Callithrix jacchus: one gene and its partners. The protein of the gene in region 1 purifies or fractionates together with the protein of each later gene. This does not show direct contact. Links are inferred from orthologs where the notes say so. Each region holds a gene or a part of one and is shown in the gene's direction. Other genes may lie near its edges.

Region 1 (3,514 bases):
AACACTCATTAATTGGCAGAAAACTAAAATGTGAAGAACCTTAATTTTTCTTTCCTTTTTTTTTTTCTTTTTGAAACAGAGTCTTGCTCTGCTGCCCAGACTGGAGTGCAGTGGTACGATCTCAGCTCACTGCAACCTCTACTTCCTGGGTTCAGGTGATTCTCTTGCCTCACCCTTCCAAGTAGCTGGGACTACAGGCACGTGCCACCACGCCCAGCTAATTTTTCGTATGGTTAGTAGAGGTGGGGTTTCACTATGTTAGCCAGGATGGTCTTCATCTCCTGACCTTGTGATCTGCCCACCTCGGCCTTCCAAAATGCTGGGATTACAGGCATGAGCCACAGTGCCCGGCCTTGTGGTTTTTTTTTTAGACATGGTCTTACTCTGTTGCCCAGGCTGGATTGCAGTGGTGTGATCTCAGCTCACTGCAACCTCCTCTTCCCGGGTTTAAGCAATTCTTGTGCCTCAGCGTCCCAAGGAGTAGCTGGGACTATGGGCGGACACCACCACATCTGGCTAATTTTTTTTTTTTTTTTTAATTTTAATTTCAATTTTTGTTGAGATGGAGTCTCACTCTGTCGCCCGGGCTGGAGTGCAATAAATGGCGCAGTCTTAGCTCACTGCAACTTCCGCCCCCCAGGTTCAAGCATTCTCCTGCTTTAGCCTCCCAATTAGCTGGGTTACAGGTACCCACCACCATGCCCAGCTGATTTTTGTATTTTTAGTAGAGAGAGGATTTCACCATTTTGGCCAGGCTGGTCTTGAAATTCTGATCTCATGATCCACCCACCTCCCCCTCCCAAAGTGCTGGGATTACAGGCGTGAGCCACCACGCCCAACCATTTTCCTGTGTTTTTAGTAGAGATGGGGTTTCACTATATTGGCCAGGCTGGTCTTGAACTCCTGGCCTCAAGTGATTTACCCACTTCAGCCTCCCAAAGTGCTGGGATTATGGGCATGAGCCACTCTGCCTAACCCATAGAACCTCATTTCCTACGTAAAACTGAATAGTTTGCTTGGGATTCCTATGGTGGCAGTACCTTAGGTTTTATGATTGCGTTGAGAGGCTGTGGGCTCCTTAAAAATGTGTTGGCTTTTATTTTTATCCATCTTATGGGGAAACTCTGTTACCTCTAACATATTTGCTGTTTCTTAAATTCTTGCAATACTCTTTATGTAGGTCAGATTGAGTTGTACACTCACCTGCCTGTGATGAAACAGCTGGTCCAGCAGCTCGAGCAGTGGGAATTCCGAGTCTGTGGAGTTTTTCTTGTTGATTCTCAGTTCATGGTGGAGTCATTCAAGGTCTGAACCTAATTCTCTTATAGATTTTTTTTTTTCTTTGAGACAGTCTTACTCCATTGCCCAGGCTAAGTGCAGTGGCATGTTCTCAGCTCACTGCAAACTCTGCCTCCCAGGTTCAAGTGATTCTAGTGCCTCAGCCTCTCAAGTAGCTGAGATTACAGGCATGCGCCATCATGCCTGGCTAATTTTTGTATTTTTAGTAGAGACAGTGTTTTACCATGTTGGCCAGGCTGGTCTCAAACTCCTACCCTCAAACCTCAAGTGAGCTGCGTTCCTCAACCTCCCAAAGCCTCTTACAGATTTTTTTTAACTATGAGTACAAGCAGATGACAATTTCCTTTAATTATTGTGTGATTATGGATATTTCACAAACAATTCCAGAATTACTTAGTATCCCTTTGTTATTAAATTATCATGATAATATGTTATAACTCAAAAGTAGTAAATTAAGGTATCGTAGAGATTTAGGAGGAACTAAGAGAAGATACTGAGGTGGCCAGGCACAGTGGCTCACACCTGTGATCCCAACACTTTGGGAGGTCAAAGTGGGAGGACTGCTTGAGCCTAGGAGTTCCAGTCCTGCCTGGGCAACAGTGAGACCCTGTCTTTACAAAAAAAATACAAAAATTAGCCAGGTGTTGTGGCTTGGGCCTGTAGTCCCAGCTACTTGGGAAGGAGGATTGCTTGAATACAGGAAGTGGGAGGATCGCTTGAGTACAGGAAGCAGAGGTTGCCATGACTGAGATGGCCAAGATAGCACCATTGCATGCCAGCCTGAGTGACAGAGCAAGAAAAAAACTGAAGCAGATAACTATTTAGCTATTTTATAAAAGTCTATTTTAATTTTCTGAGGACTTTTTGTCCAGTTTATGAACTATCTAGATCAAATTTTATTTTATTAGCTCTTAAGGAATATTAGATGGGAAAAGAAATTAAAATGCTGTCTAAATTGACATTTGTGATCACTGTATGTTATCTACATCTTCCCTCACCTTTGGGAACCAAGAGTCAAACACCTAATTAGGGAACATTTTTTTCTGTATGGCTAGCATTTCTTTTAATAAAGTACAAATAATTTTGCCTTTTCCACATGTTCTGAACTAGAATTTCTTTCTTTTTTTTTTTTTGAGACTGAGTTTCACTTTTTTTGCCCAGGCTGGAGTGCAGTAGCATGATCTTGGGCCACTGCAACCTTCACCTCCTAGGTTCAAATGATTCTTCTTCCTCAGCCTCCCGAGTAGCTGGGATTACAGGCACTTGCCATCACACCTGGCTAATTTTATATTTTTAGTAGAGACAGGGTTTTGCCATGTTGGCCTGGCCGGTCTTGAACTCCTGACCTCAGATGATTGCTCACCTCAGCCTCCCAAAGTGCTGGTATTAAAGGCATGAGCCACCATGCCCAGCCTGTATTTCTTTTATTTAGGCCAATTCTGTTTCAGTGAGGAATAGAAGCCTCTTTGTGCAAAGACCAGGTAACTTTGTTGGCAACAGTCAGTTCATCTTCCCTTTTCTGTTTCCTCCTTCAGTTTATTTCTGGCATCTTGGCAGCCCTGAGTGCCATGGTCTCTCTAGAAATTCCACAGGTCAACATCATGACAAAAATGGATCTGCTGAGTAAAAAAGCTAAAAAGGAAATTGAGAAGTGAGTTCACTGTTCTTCCATTATTATCAGATCTCAATTGCAGAGATGAACCTTCTGTTTTATTTAGATGGAAAATTTGGTTGGTTTATAAACCTAGTCTCCTAAATTCATCAGTCTTTCTATCTTTTAAAGGTTTTTAGATCCAGACATGTATTCTTTATTAGAAGATTCTACAAGTGACTTAAGAAGCAAAAAATTCAAGAAACTGACTAAAGCTATATGTGGACTGGTAAGCTTTTAAAGTTTGGATTTTTTGGCCAGGTACAGTGGCTCATGCCTGTAATCCTAGCACTTTGGCAGGTCAAGGCGGGAGGATTGAGTCTAGGAGTTCAAGACCAACCTGGGTAACATAGTAAGACCCTATCTCTTAAAAAAAAAAAAAATTAAAAATTAGGCCGGGTGCAGTGGCTCACGCCTGTAATCCTAGCACTTTGGAAGGCTGAGAAGGGTGGATCACCTGAGGCCAGGAGTTTGAGACCACCCTGGCCAACATGGTGAAACCCTGTCTCTACTAAAAATACAAAAAATATATACATATAGCTGGGTGTGGTGGTGCACACCTGT
Region 2 (3,514 bases), about 4.0 Mb from region 1:
ATATATTAAAAGGAATGTTTACAAAGCACACATTTTTACTTTGAAAGAAAGTCTGAAGTGTCATCAATAGGAATTTTCTTATTTATAACTTTCCTGCGAAATTATAGTTTCTGTTATATGAGGCAATAAGAAAATAGATACTGATGCGTAGCGGAAAAATCTTCATTTAACTGTTAATAACCATTCTTTTAAAGAAAACTTTCCTCTTTTACTTCTGTAGTAAAATTGACACATTTCAGACAGGTTTCTTAGTTAGCAACCTTTTGTCCAAAATAATACAAAACGTTTCATTTCACAGGAGTTTTATATTCTTCAAAGACCTATCAGCTGTTCCTCACATAAGCAATGAATTTAGTTCTGGATGAATTCAGCTCTCGGCAGCTGCTGTGTAGTCAGGGTCTCAGGCTATTCATAAAAGGTTATCAGATGGGTTTTTGCTCCCTTTCTTAAAGCATGACAACTATAGGTCTATCTGATGAAGTCTGGTTCATGTTTTGTATGCCAGACATAAAATTAGTTTTATGGATGAGATTTTGCCCCAACAAAGCATGATATAATCTGCCATGTTGATTCCCTTAATGATGAAAGAATTATTGCAGACTCGCTTCAATACTTGACTTTGGAACTTTATAGTGGGTCTTAGTGGCCCTTGCAATGACAGCTATATCTAAATTTGAGGTGAACCACGCCTTTGTCCCTGTTTAAGCATATAAACTCTGGTGGTCCGAACTTGTCTGAGGTGGATCCTGAATATTTGAAGAGAATCCTCCAAAGAGTGCTTGAACACACTTCTCTTAGAATTACTTTTTCTTGCTTCTTCACCCATGATTTTCAGGTCAAAAGAGCTATTTTAAGTAGTTCTTTTTCCCCTAAATGAAACTGCTTTACCTCCCTGACAGAACTGCTTATTACAAAAATCAGTAGCAGGCCTAGTTACAGGTGTATCCCACTCTAGGCAACAGAAAAAGATCAACCTTTAAAATTCTGAGTTGCTATTAGCAGAATGCTTTTACCAAATATGTTTTCCCCAAAGGACCAGTTTTAGACCTCTTGTGTTTCTCGTCTCTCCCCTTTGTAATACTCCTGCAGAATACAAGAACAAATTCTCTTGCCGAACATCTTGGCTTTACTCCCATCTACTTGCTACTTGCCAACAGCTGCTGCCTTATTTTAGCTGTGTGCTGAATACTTATTTACCTTATTTACTCTTACTCTCTGGGCATAAGTCAGTTTACTAGATTCATTCTCCCTCCGAGGATAAAAGGAGTTAATGAAATAAGTAATAATATGAGAGGTTAATTTGTGGAATATATATGGTTGCTCTGTTTATTTGCCTTATAATAGAGTTTCTTAGAGCTTAGCTCTTTTCCACATTTCAGAAACTTAAGGTTCCAAAGTGATCAATCTTGACTGTAATAGTGAGCAAACTTTAATTTGTGAGGGAGCTCCCCCAAAGTTACATATTTTAATGCAAAAGATCACCTAATCGTTTCCTGAAACCCTAGCAATTTTTCTGCTACAAGGGTTTTTAATCTGGAATCCACAAGAGTCCAAAATGAATATTAAATTTTTGTTCTTGTTTCTATGTGCATTTTTCTCAAGAGAACACTCCTAGCTTTGATTGGGTCCTCTGAGGAGGAATGGAGAACCATGGCAGGTGCAGTTGTTCTTTTTGGAACTAGAAAACTTGAGTCAACAATTCTGTTCACATATTATTGTCTGCTTTGCTTTTTTTTTTTTAACTGAGACAGGGTCTTACCTCCAGGCTGGAGTACAGTGGTGCAATCTCAGCTCCCTACAGCCTCTGCCTGCCTTTTGGGCTCAATTGATCCTCCCACCTCAGCCTCCCAAGTAGCTGGGAGCACAGACATGTGCCACCACACCCAGCTAGTTTTTGTATTTTTAGTAGAGACGAGGTTTTGCCACATTGGCAGGTTAATCTCAGACTCCTGACCTCAAGTGATCTGCCCACCTCAGCCTCCCAAAGTGCTGGGATTATAGGCGTGAGCCACCACACTCAACCTGTGTTGCTTTTTTGATGAATACTGTTTTCTACTATTAATTCATGTTACTATGAATTTACATTTGAAAAATTTTTGACCTTAATCTGTAAGTTCTCCTTGAGGATATTTTCAATATATACAATTATAAAATAATATGTTTAAAATAATATAACATTTAATGCATAAGAAGATAAAGTAAATTTATTATTCAGGATTTATTTCATATGAATCTATTTTAATAATGATACAGTGGCCACAGAGAATATATATTTCTTAATATGAATATATATACTATTTTTAGATTCCTTAAACCTTGATTAGGAAGCCATCAGTTTGTTCATTATCCCAAATAAGTGCTATCAGAGTTATTTTTCTGTTGCTACATTTTGCTATTCTTAAGAGTAACTTTGGAAAACATCCAAATAATCGCACATTCCAACATGAAATGATCTCTTTGTTGCTGGTGTTTTATCAGTTAGTTTATGACTTCCCATGGAAATCTCTGGTCGAACTGGCTTTTCAGTATAGAATTAGTTCCTCAGAAGGTGACTGCTCTGATATAGTAAGGTTGATGCATCAGACACTTCTGAGATGGTTGCTAGACATAGTAATGTTCATTATCTTCCTAGAAATCCCCAGTGAATGACTTGACTAAGTTTTCATTTTAATTGTGATGCTTTGATTTCTGAATATGTGCATGGTTCTAATTTCGAAAGCATGAAATTCCTGTAATGAACTTCCTGTAGTTACTGCACAGTATCAGACAACATAGGATTGGATTAGGAATAGTGTTGTGTCTTTCATCTCCCTACAGGGAAACTGGTCTCTAAAGAGATTTAAAATGGACCGCCAGGGTGTGACCCAAGTGCTGTCTCGCTTGTCATATATATCTGCACTGGGCATGATGACAAGAATCTCTTCCCAGTTTGAAAAAACAAGAAAAGTGAGTGGTCCTCGCTCCCTCCAGCCGTCTCAGTGGGGAATGCTCTGTCCTTCAGACACTCCTGAAGGAGAGGTAAGGAATCTGAGGAGTCTTGATGCTGTGTCAGAAGTGATACCTATGTCTGTGCATAGTGTGGGGTGGGTGTGGTCCCTTTCTGTTCCTATCTCCCAGGCCATATCCTTTTTTGGTCTGCCATTTATCTGGCAAAGAAATATTGACATGCTTGGAAGACTGCCTTAGTGTCATTCTAAAACTAGGACCTGCAGAAGCATTTGATTCAGTAAGTTAGCTAAAAGTAATACAGTCCATGTTTCTCTTGCTTATTTTAGTTTATCCCAAAATCAAACCATGCACAGAAGGAATAAGACTGTGAAGGCAGATTGAAAGACCTATCATCTCTCATGCTCATGAGAAGCTCTTTTTGAGCAGCTCCTTATTGTCCTTAGGTGGGCTCAGTCACAGCCAATTAGGAGTATACAGTCCATTACCTAATGTGGATTCTAACTCACTTATATTGGAAACACAAGCAATTGCCTAAACACCAAGCCAGGGAGTTTACATTGGTTTA
Region 3 (4,021 bases), on another chromosome or scaffold:
ATGTGGCAACAGAGAAATGTTATTTGGAAAAGGAGGATACAGGCCAGGCGCGGTGGCTGACGCCTGTAATTCCAGCACATTGGGAGGCCAAGGTGGGTGGGATCACTTGAACTCAGGAGTTAAAGACCAGCCTGGGCAACACAGTGAAACTCCATCTCTACGAGGTGGGGGACGGGGGGAGCGGGGAAAGGCATGGTGGCATGCATCTGTAGTCCCAGCTACTCGGGAAGCTGAGGTTGGAGCATGGCTTGAGCCTGTGAGGCAGAGGGTGCCGTGAGCCGATCCTACCACTGCAGTCTGGGCAACAGAGAGAAACCTCGTCTCCCTCTTCTCCCCGCCTCCCCCCAAAAAAAACAAAAGAAAAAGGATACGAAATTGTGATAGAATATGACAACTTTGTGAAGACTACTAGATATATTACAAAATTTTTAATAGTAGTACTCTACGTGGCAATCGAATAGAAATGATTTCCTTTCCTCAAACTCCCCGTAATATTGTTACATGGTTTTTACATGGTCTGGGGGGTAACATTAAATGACACTTTTTATGTGAAATCACAAACATCGGAGTCAATCGAAGTTTTTCAAATTCCAACAGTAGAGCAAACTTGGTATTCCGATTCCGTGCAGGCTTTCACCAAGAGCGCACATGAGGGCCACCGCCGTCGTGAGCCCAAGGCGGTTGTGACTGGGTACCGGTTGGTCCATTGCGGCTGTTCCAACGCTGCCCCCCACAGCCTCACCCCTGAACCCCCCCAGGAGCACAGGGAAGGGGGTCCTCAAAAGTGGGCGAGGCCGCTGCCCGCAGGAACTGTCCACTTCAAGGTCACCATGGAGAACCCGAGACGGGGCTCGGCGTGGCCCAGGACTCCCCAACTTTGAGTTCAAGTCTCGCTCTCTGCGCCGCGCCCCTCGCCCCATCCCGAGCAGCGACCCCAAAGCTCCCAGGGGCTCCGCCGCGGCGATTCCTCACATTGCGCGTGGCGGCCAACAAGGCCCAGGAGCCTGAATTCGGCGCCTCCACACCCCCGCCCGAGGCCTAAGACCCCCGAACGCCACGTCACAGCGTAGCCCAGAACAGTAGTCCCCTTATTCTTTTTCGCCCTCTCAACCCAGCTTTTCCCGACTCCGGGAAGAACCGGGAAGAGAAGGCGGAGGGGAGCGAAGCGCCGCCTAATAAATACTGTGGCTCAGTCCCGCCCCCAGAACATCACTTCCGCCCCGCGCCAACATGGCGGCGCCCAGACCATGCCACGCAGACTTCCGTTCGGCGCGGAGACCGAAGGCTAGCTGCAGGTCGCGTCTCTGGTGAAGTCGTGAGCGTGGTGTGGGGCCGCGGTCCGGGTGAGTCCCTGCCTGGTTCTTGGGCGGGGGTCCTGGAGACAGGGCGTGTCACGAGGGCTCTCACCTGGGTGGTCTGGGGAGTCTTGCCACGTGGGAGGGGAGGAGCAGAGACGCCACTGGAGGACGCGCTGAGTGGGGAACCGGAAGCCAAGTGGGTGGGGTTCCGCAAGGGTCCGCGTGTCAATCCCCTCTGGTCATCTCGTTGTCCCTTCTTTGCCAGGCAACATGTCGGAAGGAAACGCCGCCGGCGAGCCCAGCACTCCGGGAGGGCCCCGACCCCTCCTGACCGGGGCTCGGGGGCTCATCGGGCGGCGGCCGGCGCCCCCCCTCACTCCCGGCCGCCTTCCCTCCATCCGTTCCAGGGACCTCACCCTCGGGGGAGTCAAGAAGGTACCCAACGGCGCGTTTCTAAAGAAACTCACCTACCTTGAATTCCAAGCCGCGAGATTCAACTAATGTTCGTGTAGGGCCTACTGTGTGTCTGGAGTATTGTTCGGCCTCACGCCTACTCCTCTTTACATTCTAGGGAGCCTGTCCTACCTTCAAATCTAGGTACTGAGTACAGATGTTGAAATGATTCTCAGAGGTGGTTGAAGGATAGAGAGTCCTAATTAGTTAACGTTGTTCAAAAGCAACTTGAACAGTGTTTATTTACTTTCATTGTGTGTTTGGACATCTATAACAAGCCCATGAAAGCCAGGCAGGCATAAACCTCACAGTCTTAGAGAGTTCAGAATTCAACATCTCAGTGTGCAGACTTTTTATCTAGAGTATGATGAATCCTAGGCATAGCATTTGAGGCTCTGTGGTCTCCCATGTGCATATGATTGTGGATGTCAAGAGTAGCTCTGAAAGGGGTAGGGTCAGGATGGCAGGAGAATAAAGCAGTATTTAAAAACCTAACTTTGCGACTGGGCACCACGGCTCACGCCTGTAATCCCAGCACTTTGGGAGGCCGAGGTGGGCAGATTACCTGAGGTCAGGAGTTTGAGACCAGCCTGGCCAGTGAAACCCCTACAAAAAATACAGAAATTAGCTGGGTATGTCTCTAATAAAAATACAACAATTAGAAGTGTGGTGGCAGGTGCCTGTAATCCCAGCTACTCAGGAGACTGAGGCAGGAGAATCGCTTGAACCTGGGAGGCAGAGGCTGGAGTGAGCCGAGATCGTACCATTGCACTCCAGCCACAGTAACAAGAGTGAAACTCCCTCTCAAAAGAAAAAAAACACCTAACTTTGCCTTGGAAAATTGTGACGGTCTATAATCCCCTGATTGAGAGTGTTGGCAGATCTGTGGTCTTCCCTACTTATGTCTTGGTGCTAGAGCTGTTCTCTCATGATACTCACTGGTCTCTATAGCAGTTTGAAGATGAGAGGTGAGACTAGAGAAATTCCTTTGCTTTTAGAAGTCCCAGAGGGTATTCTTTCAGAGGCAGAACCTAAGGCTGCTGGTTAAAAATGAGGTTTGGTGCCCCTTTCTTTTATGTGTAACTCCACTGCCACCACACCATGACATTCCTTCTTTTCAGTCACATGTCTGTCTCTGTAAAGCGGACAGCACTGTGGAACGTGCCAAAGACAACCATGTTGGCCTTGGTTGGTAGACAGTGCCCTTTGGGAATTTTTTTTTTCCTCTGTACTTTGGGGTCAGGACCTAACACATCAGTGACTCCTGTATTTTGCTTTCAGAAAACCTTCACCCCAAATATCATCAGTCGGAAGATCAAAGAAGAGTAAGTAGCTAGGCCTTCTGAATACTTGCCCCTTATTTACTTTCTCTGAATATGGGGCTTTGGGGGAAGTAACTAGGTTTGTGGCTCTGACAAATTTATGTTTTTAGTTCTTTTCACTGGTGATTTTCAGTCCTTGCTTCTAGGTGATTCTGATGTGTAAGTTTAAAAAAAAAATATTGGTGTCTAGGGCTCCATCTCTAAAAATTGTGATTTAATTTGTTGGCAGTGGAATGGAGTGATTCTCTTTGATGGCCAGAGTTGAGAGCCACTAGTTTAAACAAAGATGTATCATACTTTCCTTGAAGTTCCTTTGGATTTCTGCCTTCCTGCTTTCAGTCCCAATGCAAAAAAAAAAAAAAAAATCTACATTTTTGGACAAGGTAAAGTAAAGCAAACTGAAAAAATCCTGCCTCATCAAGGAAGTGAGAAAAGTGCTAGAATTAGAACTGGATTCTGCTTCTCATAGTGTAATTATTGGCTCAGACTCTCCACTGTCTTGGAGTGAGGTGGTATGGGAGATTAAGGCCAGTTTTCGGAGACACAGTGAGTGAGTGGTTTCCCGAATCCATTCTCTTTTCCAGGCCCAAGGAAGAAGTAACTGTCAAGAAGGAGAAGCGTGAAAGGGACAGAGACCGACAGCGAGAGGGGCATGGACGAGGACGAGGCCGCCCAGAAGTGATCCAGTCCCACTCCATCTTTGAGCAGGGCCCAGCCGAAATGATGAAGAAAAAAGGTACGAAGAAGGAATCAGTAGTGAATTTGAGTTCAGACTGCCCAAGAGAAGGGCAAGAGCAGTGGAATTTCCCTGCTCCCAGTTCAGTTTTCCTTGCTGTTGGCATCTTCCTGATTGATCCCTAGTGACCCGGGTGATTTCCCACAGGAAACTGGGATAAGACAGTGGATGTGTCAGACATGGGACCTTCTCATATCATCAACATCAAAAAA
Region 4 (4,127 bases), on another chromosome or scaffold:
TGAGTTGATCTATAATCTGAGAACAGAAATTGTAAACTGTATGTGACTCGAAGTCACATCTCTCTCGAGGCTTAAAGTGGTTTTTGGGATTCCAACAACTTTTTTTTTTTTGAGATGGAGTTGTGCTCTGCCGCCCAGCCTTGAGTGCAGTGGCACAATCTCAGCTCACTGCAACCTCCTCCTCCCAGGCTCAAGCGATTCTCCTTCCTCAACCACCAGAGTAGCTGAGATTACAGGCGCCTGCCACTGCGCCCAGCTAATTTTTTTTTTTTTGAGATGGAGTTTCACTCTTGTTAACCAGGCTGGAGTGCAATGGCGCATTCTCAGCTCACCGCAACCTCTGCCTCCTGGGTTCAAACGATTCTCCTGTCTCAGCCTCCCAAGTAGCTGGGATTACAGGCATGTGCCAACATGCCCGGCTAATTTTTTTTGTATTTAGTAGAGACGGGGTTTCACTATGTTGGCCAGGATGGTCTCGATCTCTTGACCTTGTGATCCACCCGCTTTGGCCTCCCAGAGTGTGCTGGAATTACAGGCGTGAGCCACCGCGCCCAGCCCCCCCCTTTTTTTTCAAGTTGGGGTTTCACCATGATGGTCAGGCTGGTCTTGAACTCCTGACCTCAGGTGATCCACCTGTCTCGGCCTCCCAAAGTGCTAGGATTACAGGCGTGAGCCACCGCGCCCGGACTGATCCCTTCTCTTAGAAAAGAAAAAAGAAAGACAAAGGTCTGGTGTGGTGGCTCATGTCTATAATTCCAACATCTTGGGAGGTTGAAGCGGGAAGATCACTTGAACTCAGGAGTTGGAGACCAGCCTGGGCAACACAGAGACTCGGTCTGTACAAAAAAAAATTTTTAAAAATTAGCTGGGCGTGGTGGCACGCCTGCTGCCCCAACTACTTGGGAGGCTGAGATGGGAGGATCGCTTGGGGCCACGAGTTGGAGGCTCCAGTGAGCTATGATCCCGCTAGTGCACTCCAGCCTGGACAACAGAGACTCTCTCTCTGCCCAGGGCAGTGAAGTACTTGGGCCTCCAACAAACATGTGTAGATATATATTTGCTGAATCGATTTGCTGCACTCTGTTATAGCGCTTGACTTATGGATTCTTTCACTAATTAATCTCGTTATAAGTATTTACTGAGTGGTTGTTATAGTTTGTGCATTAAGAGAATTGCCTTTTGAGGCCCAGGTTGGGCGGGCGAGGGGCGTGGCTTTAGTGGTTCCCGCCCACGACAGCGAGGCCCAATCAAACCCGCGAAGGGGGTGGAGTTCCTCCCTCTGTCGCGGCCGGCCCGGAACTGGGGTTGCTGAGGCTATCTGTGCTTCCGGTGGATTCCCGGAGGCGGCAAGAGGTGTGGATTTAGCCTCGCAGACTGCTCTGGGAAGATGTTCTACCACGTGAGCAGGGCTCAGGGTGGCAGCAAGGGCTGGGTGGGAAGGAGGAGCAAAGCCGGGCGCCGGCGCGAGGGGCCCCTTCTTGCCCGATAACCTCCCAGCGCCTGGCCTGGTCGCCATCCCACTTTTCTCCGCAGATCTCCCTAGAGCACGAAATCCTGCTGCACCCGCGCTACTTCGGCCCCAATTTGCTCAACACGGTGAAGCAGAAGCTTTTCACCGAGGTGGAGGGGACCTGCACCGGGAAGTGAGTGCCGACTTCACCGCGCAGCCAGATCGCACACACGAGGCGCTATACCTGCAACCCCTCCCCAGCTCCTGCTCGTCCTGCCACCCACTCTGGGGACCTCTCTCACTCTCTCAGGCTGCCAGTTGTTTCCTGCTTTGGGTTCCCAGGACTCCCTCTGCAATGCTGGCCGATAAGACTTCCTTCCCTCCGTTGAAATTAATCATTCATTTACTCCTCAAACATGTTAAAAAAATCCTTGCTGTGTGCCAGGACCCGTGTTGGGCCCTGAGAACAAGATAGAATGAGACCAGCCCTCGTGGAGTCCACAGTGTAATTACTGTTCTTGTGTCTGCTCTCCCTCTGTCATTCTGCTGGTTTTCTCTTATCCCCTGTGCCCAGGGACCACACACCATGGGCCTCAATATATATTCTGAATGAATGACCAGAAAAGGCAGATCGAGTTGGGGGAGGAAGGAAGCAGCTTGGGACTTGAACATCTCTGGGCTTTGTGCAGAGGAGCCTCTCCCAGGGTGGTATTAATGACCCAGCCCAGGGCAGTGGAGTTACTTGGGTCTCCAGCATCAGAAAAACCTGGGGTGGTTCTTGAACATGCAAATTCCTGAACCTCATTGTTTCCTACAGAATCAAGATTCTCTGGGGCAGACCTGAGAATCTGCTTATTTTTTCTTTTTTGAGATGGAAGTCTCACTCTCACCCAGGCTAGAGTCCAGTGGCACGATCTCGGCTCACTGCAACTTCTGCCTCCCGGGTTCAAACCATTCTGCCTCAGCCTCCCAAGTAGCTGGGATTACAGATGTGCATAACCACATCCAGCTAATTTTTGTTTTGTTTTTTTTTTCTTGTGATGGAGTTTTGCTCTTGTTACCCAGGCTGTAGTACAATGGTGTGATCTTGGCTCACTGCAACCTCCGCCTCCTGGGTTCAAGCAATTCTCCTGCCTCAACCTCCCGGGTAGCTGGGACTACAGGCACGCGCCACCATGCCCAGCTAATTTTTGTATTTTTAGTAGAGACGGGGTTTCACCATGTTGACCAGGATGGTCTCGATCTCTTGACCTCGTGATCCACCCGCCTCAGCATCCCAAAGTGCTGGGATTATAGGCGTGAGCCACTGTGCCCGGCCTTAAGTTTTGTATTTTTAGTAGAGATGGAGTTTCTCCATGTTGGCCAGGCTGGTCTCAAACTCCTGGCCTCAGGTGATCCACCTGCCTCGGCCTCCCAAAGTGCTGGGGTTACAGACATGAGCCACCGTGCTGGGCCAGAGAGTCTGCATTTTAATAAGATGATTCTCAGGCATCCCAAAGATTGGCCCCTGTTGGCTCAAGGTCTCCAGCCATCTTGGACATTTATTGTGAAATTATCAGAGCAGCATTTGGCCTAATACATACTGATCTGTGTCCTGTCTTCTCTTGGTCATTAAGCTCTGGTAACTGAGGTGCTAGCAACTTGTCCTTTTGTTCTCCTTGACCCTCCTCCCAAAAGCTCAGTGACTTTTACTGCAGAATCTTTAGAGGCTCATGGACACAAAATGCCGTTTGTTTCTCCTCCTCCTTGCAGGTATGGCTTTGTAATCGCTGTAACCACCATTGACAATATCGGTGCTGGTGTGATCCAGCCAGGCCGAGGCTTCGTCCTTTATCCAGTTAAGTACAAGGCCATTGTTTTCCGGCCCTTTAAAGGAGAAGTCGTGGATGCTGTTGTCACGCAGGTCAACAAGGTGAGACCATACATAGGGGAGCCAGTGGGGTAGTCTCTTGGAAGATGTCGTTGGGTCCTGGCTCCACTTGATAACTCTGTGCCTTCAGCTAAGTTACTTTACTTTTTGTTTTTGTTTTTTTTTTTTTTTGAGACAATTTTGCTCTTTAACCCAGAGTACAGTGGCACGATCTTGGCTCACTGCAACCTCTGTCTCCCGGGTTCAAGCGATTCTCCTGCCTCAGCCTCCTGAGTAGTTGGGGCTAAAGGCATGTGCCACCACGGCTGCCTAATTTTTTTTTTTTTATGGTAGAGATGGGGTTTTGCCATGTTGCCCAGGCTGGCCTTGAACCCCTGAGCTCAGTCAGCCCACCTCAGCCTCCCAAAGCACTAGGATTACAGGCGTGAGCCACCATGCCTGGCCAGTAACTTTTACTTCTTGTGCTTCACTTTAAAATTGTATGGCAATCTGGCCCTGTGTGACTCAGAGGGCAAGGGAGTCATTTATAGTCATAACAATAGAAGCCTGCATTGACTGAGTAGTTACTATGGGCCAGGTAATGTGCAGAGACCCACAGTGATTTTACAAGGTGGGTGCTTTTTTACAGAAGTTGAAGCTTAAGTTAAGTGTACTGGTCAAGATCATGTGCCCAACCAGTGTTCAAATCTTTTTTTTTTTTTTTTTTTTTTTTTTTGAGACGGAGTTTTGCTCGTTACCCAGATTGGAGTGCAATGGCATGCTCTTGGCTCACCGCAACCTCTGCCTCCTGGGTTGAAGCAATTCTCC
Region 5 (3,514 bases), on another chromosome or scaffold:
AGGGTTGGAGAGAGAATTTATTATGACTTCTTTTTTTCGGAACCATTTTTTACCGTACAGCTCTGATTAGTGTACTATCAAAGTGTACTCACTGTGATTAGTCTGTGAACTAAGGGGAAGGCAGTTGCAGCTGGAGCTCATGGGCTTTCCAGCAGAAGAGATGTGCATGCTCACTAAATGTAAGCAAGCAGCAGGTGTTGTGGGGACACAGTGAAGTCAAAATTCTTAAACTCCTTTGCCTTATTAATGTTGTATCTCAAGTTTAAAAACATGGCCATAATGTATACACGTATAATGTAATAAACTCCCTGTTCTTCAGTGAGGTTAGGAGCTGGATGAAGACCCAAGGTTTACACACTTGCAAAAGAGTTAAACTACATACTAATAGTTTCAGGGAGAAGGAAGCTGAGAAGCGGTTTGAAAACTGTGAAAATAGATTCATGCAGGATGGGCAGAAACTCTGCTTATCAGTTCCTTGCCATAAATTTATTTCTGACATTTCAGGAAAAATAAAATCTTTTTGAAAAGAATTGCTATTTACTTGCAGCAAATGTAACATTCAGCTCGGGTAACTGCTACCTTCCCGTGCTGTATTTACAAGTACATAACATCAAATGCACCGTTAAATCACTACTACCATTCTCTGAAAAACAGAAGACCTCTAGCGAAAAGTACCTAAAACATGCGTCTTTTCTGTTACACTTTAACTCAACCCCAGCATTCATTTTAACCTGAAAACGTGATTTCTGCTGAATACAAAATCAGGACTATAGTATATTAATGTGGTCAGGTAATCTCTTGTATACAGTGAAGTACACGTTTCACTTCCAGGATGACATGTAGAAAACTAGAACCGTCATCTAGCCAATAAATACAACAAAGAATACATTAATCCCAGTTCTGTATTATGGTCATTTATGTAGGAGTTGGAGGGAGATAAGGGAATAGTGATGAGGGTTACCAAGAGTGCAGGAAGTTTAAGAGAGAGGGAGCCTCCTGTGTAGTTAAAGGAGAGCAGGAAAGGCAGGGCTTTGAGGAGTCCAGAGGCTACACACATGGTAAGAAGTGGCTTGGAGGCTGGAAAATGGGCTTAGGGAGTGTCCGTTTGAGCCTTTCTGCTCTTCCTTCTGCATACTCTTCTGGCCTCGTATATCACCTGGATGCTGGAGGCTGCCCCTTGTCTACCTCTACTCCAGATCTTCCAGAAGTTTTAGGGTTACATGGCCAATTAGCCATAACACTTGACCACTTGGGTGTTCCCTGGCATCTCAGCTTAATCATGTACAAAGTGGCACCCCTGTTTCTTTCCAAGGTAATTTCCATATTCTCTAATAGTGTCCCCACCTTCTTCTTGGTTTTCTTCCCCCAAGGTATCTTTCATTTTTCTCATCTCCTTATCTGCTCACCATGAAGACCTACGTAATGTATTTTCCTTGATCTTCATCTGTATAATTGTTCTTCATCTTCTGTCAGAGTGAAGACACTCCCCTCTCTTGGGCTACAACTGTGGCTTCTTCCTGCCTCTAGTTTAACTAGCAGTCAGTCTCCACTGCTGCCAGAGTGAAATTTTAAGATGGAAATCTGAACTTGTTCTGTTGACCTTCTCATTGCAGTCTGGGCTCATCCTACTTCCCAGCCCTCTCTGTGGCCGTCTTTTCTGTATAGCAGAAAAGCTGGGTGTCTGTGCCTGCTGTGCTTCCTCTCACTCCCCTTGCTGGGATGCACTTCTCTCCTCATTTAAGGGGTAAGCAGTTATTATTCCAAGACTGTTCAAATGTCACTTCTTGGAAGCTTTTCTGACAACCTCCCTGTCTCCCACGGGAACTGGCCATTTCCTTATGTTCCAGTGTATCTCGTTGAGGTATCTGTCATAGTACCTCTGGTATTATATCGCACTGAAACTTTACATGTTTATTTCTCTCTACGAGGCAGTAAACCCTTTTGCAAATGTTCATTGAATGAATAAGTGAAAAAAGAAAAGCTCCAGTTAAAGTATAAGGTTTGATGAAGGAAAAGGCAAAGAGCCTGTATGCGCAAACACACTCCTATTTGTCAGCGCAGTGAATATTGGGAAACTGCTTACTATTACCTTTGGAGGAGAATTGATTGCTAAGGTTAAAGGCCTTTTGTGTGAATGGTTTAAATGTGTCTACAAATAAAGAAAATAGTCTGTGTGACACAAGTTTTCCTTTTATCAGATTACCTTCTCGACAAATTGATTCATCTGGTGACGGTCAGAAGAGAAGGTCTCCCATTTCCGCAGAAGAGCGGCGGCGCAGGGATAAGCAGCACCTCGATGACATCACAGCAGCTCGGCTTCTGCCCCTTCACCACACGCCCGCGCAGCTGCTCTCCATAGAAGAGTCTTTGGCACTTCAGAAACAGCAGAAACAGAATTATGAGGTATTTAGAGTATTGTTTTTCTCTCGTCTGTTTGTTGGGTGCTGCTTACATAAGTCAGAATTTATTCCAGGTTCAAGGAGGATGGACTGGAATAGAGGGGATTAGGTGCTTCCATGAGCTGAGACCTATACCACTGGTTTTCAGAGTCACAAAGTTGGTAGAACTGCAGGAAACAGCTAGAGATGAACAGCAATCTGCAACATTAAAGTGGGTTTTTGGGAGGCCGAGGCGGGTGGATCATGAGGTCAAGAGATCGAGACCATCCTGGTCAACAAGGTGAAATCCCGTCTCTACTAAAAATACAAAAATTAGCTGGGCATGGTGGCGCATGCCTGTAATCCCAGCTACTCAGGAGGCTGAGGCAGGAGAATTGCCTGAACCCAGGAGGCGGAGGTTGTGGTGAGCCGAGATCGCGCCATTGCACTCCAGCCTGGGTAACAAGAGCGAAACTCCGTCTCAAAAAAAAAAAAAAGTGGTGCTTTGCCAGAAGATGTGGGGAGACTGCTGTAGAATTTCAGGTCTCAAAGCTCACGCACCTGCCTGTTCTGTTAGGATAGTCGTGGCATCGCATCCCTCCCTGTCTCTCCCTTTCACCTTGTAAAACCCATGTGGCAGCTTCTCAGTGGTGGACTCTAACCCAGACCCCTTCTAGAATGAGGAAATGTAGTTCCCAGGCTTCTGTCTCCTGCAGTACAGGGGAGGGCATAGAAGGAGTGGGAGGATAGTGTTGTTTAGCCGGCAGACTGTCCTGTCTCATTTCCTAGATGTTGCTTATTTTGATTTCAGTCAGGTACTAGTGCACCAGTTAGTATAACAGCAGGCTGCACAGAGCAAGACCGTATCTTCGCAAGAAAATTAGCCAGGCATTGTGGCACGTGACTGTGGTCCCAGCTACGTGTGGGGCTGAGGTAGGATTGCTTAGGCCCAGGAGGTTGAGGCTTCAGTGAGCTGCAGTTGCACCGCTGCACTCTATACAGCCTGGGTGACAGAGTGAGACCCTGTCTCCAAAAAACGAACAACAAAACAGGCTGATAATCTGCGTTGGCTTTTCATAGAAGGCTTGGCATGGATTGGCGTTTTCAAGGTGCTATTGTTTAAAAAAAACCCATTT

The links.
Region 2: the proteins of GPN3 (region 1) and POLR3B purify together in Homo sapiens (affinity purification with mass spectrometry; 3 studies listed by BioGRID and IntAct, counting the BioPlex papers as one, with this or other methods). This does not show direct contact. The link is inferred for Callithrix jacchus from reciprocal best matches to the Homo sapiens genes GPN3 and POLR3B.
Region 3: the proteins of GPN3 (region 1) and POLR3D purify together in Homo sapiens (affinity purification with mass spectrometry; 3 studies listed by BioGRID and IntAct, counting the BioPlex papers as one, with this or other methods). This does not show direct contact. The link is inferred for Callithrix jacchus from reciprocal best matches to the Homo sapiens genes GPN3 and POLR3D.
Region 4: the proteins of GPN3 (region 1) and POLR2G purify together in Homo sapiens (affinity purification with mass spectrometry; 3 studies listed by BioGRID and IntAct, counting the BioPlex papers as one, with this or other methods). This does not show direct contact. The link is inferred for Callithrix jacchus from reciprocal best matches to the Homo sapiens genes GPN3 and POLR2G.
Region 5: the proteins of GPN3 (region 1) and POLR2M purify together in Homo sapiens (affinity purification with mass spectrometry; 3 studies listed by BioGRID and IntAct, counting the BioPlex papers as one, with this or other methods). This does not show direct contact. The link is inferred for Callithrix jacchus from reciprocal best matches to the Homo sapiens genes GPN3 and POLR2M.

Annotation. Positions count from the first base shown.
Region 1 is NC_133510.1:113,347,035-113,350,548, reverse strand, and holds part of GPN3 (GPN-loop GTPase 3), read left to right. Parts: intron 1-1,180; coding exon 1,181-1,305; intron 1,306-2,834; coding exon 2,835-2,950; intron 2,951-3,082; coding exon 3,083-3,179; intron 3,180-3,514. UniProt on the Homo sapiens protein: Small GTPase required for proper localization of RNA polymerase II (RNAPII). May act at an RNAP assembly step prior to nuclear import.
Region 2 is NC_133510.1:109,299,170-109,302,683, forward strand, and holds part of POLR3B (DNA-directed RNA polymerase III subunit RPC2), read left to right. Parts: intron 1-2,817; coding exon 2,818-3,018; intron 3,019-3,514. UniProt on the Homo sapiens protein: Catalytic core component of RNA polymerase III (Pol III), a DNA-dependent RNA polymerase which synthesizes small non-coding RNAs using the four ribonucleoside triphosphates as substrates.
Region 3 is NC_133514.1:19,238,663-19,242,683, reverse strand, and holds the start of POLR3D (DNA-directed RNA polymerase III subunit RPC4), read left to right. Parts: upstream 1-1,217; 5' UTR 1,218-1,343; intron 1,344-1,563; 5' UTR 1,564-1,568; coding exon 1,569-1,733; intron 1,734-3,032; coding exon 3,033-3,076; intron 3,077-3,657; coding exon 3,658-3,809; intron 3,810-3,956; coding exon 3,957-4,021. UniProt on the Homo sapiens protein: DNA-dependent RNA polymerase catalyzes the transcription of DNA into RNA using the four ribonucleoside triphosphates as substrates.
Region 4 is NC_133511.1:120,037,593-120,041,719, forward strand, and holds the start of POLR2G (DNA-directed RNA polymerase II subunit RPB7), read left to right. Parts: upstream 1-1,316; 5' UTR 1,317-1,387; coding exon 1,388-1,399; intron 1,400-1,533; coding exon 1,534-1,643; exon of another isoform or gene 1,644-1,926; coding exon of another isoform or gene 1,927-1,955; intron 1,956-3,202; coding exon 3,203-3,362; intron 3,363-4,127. UniProt on the Homo sapiens protein: Core component of RNA polymerase II (Pol II), a DNA-dependent RNA polymerase which synthesizes mRNA precursors and many functional non-coding RNAs using the four ribonucleoside triphosphates as substrates.
Region 5 is NC_133509.1:3,682,813-3,686,326, forward strand, and holds part of POLR2M (protein GRINL1A), read left to right. Parts: intron 1-2,198; coding exon 2,199-2,403; intron 2,404-3,514.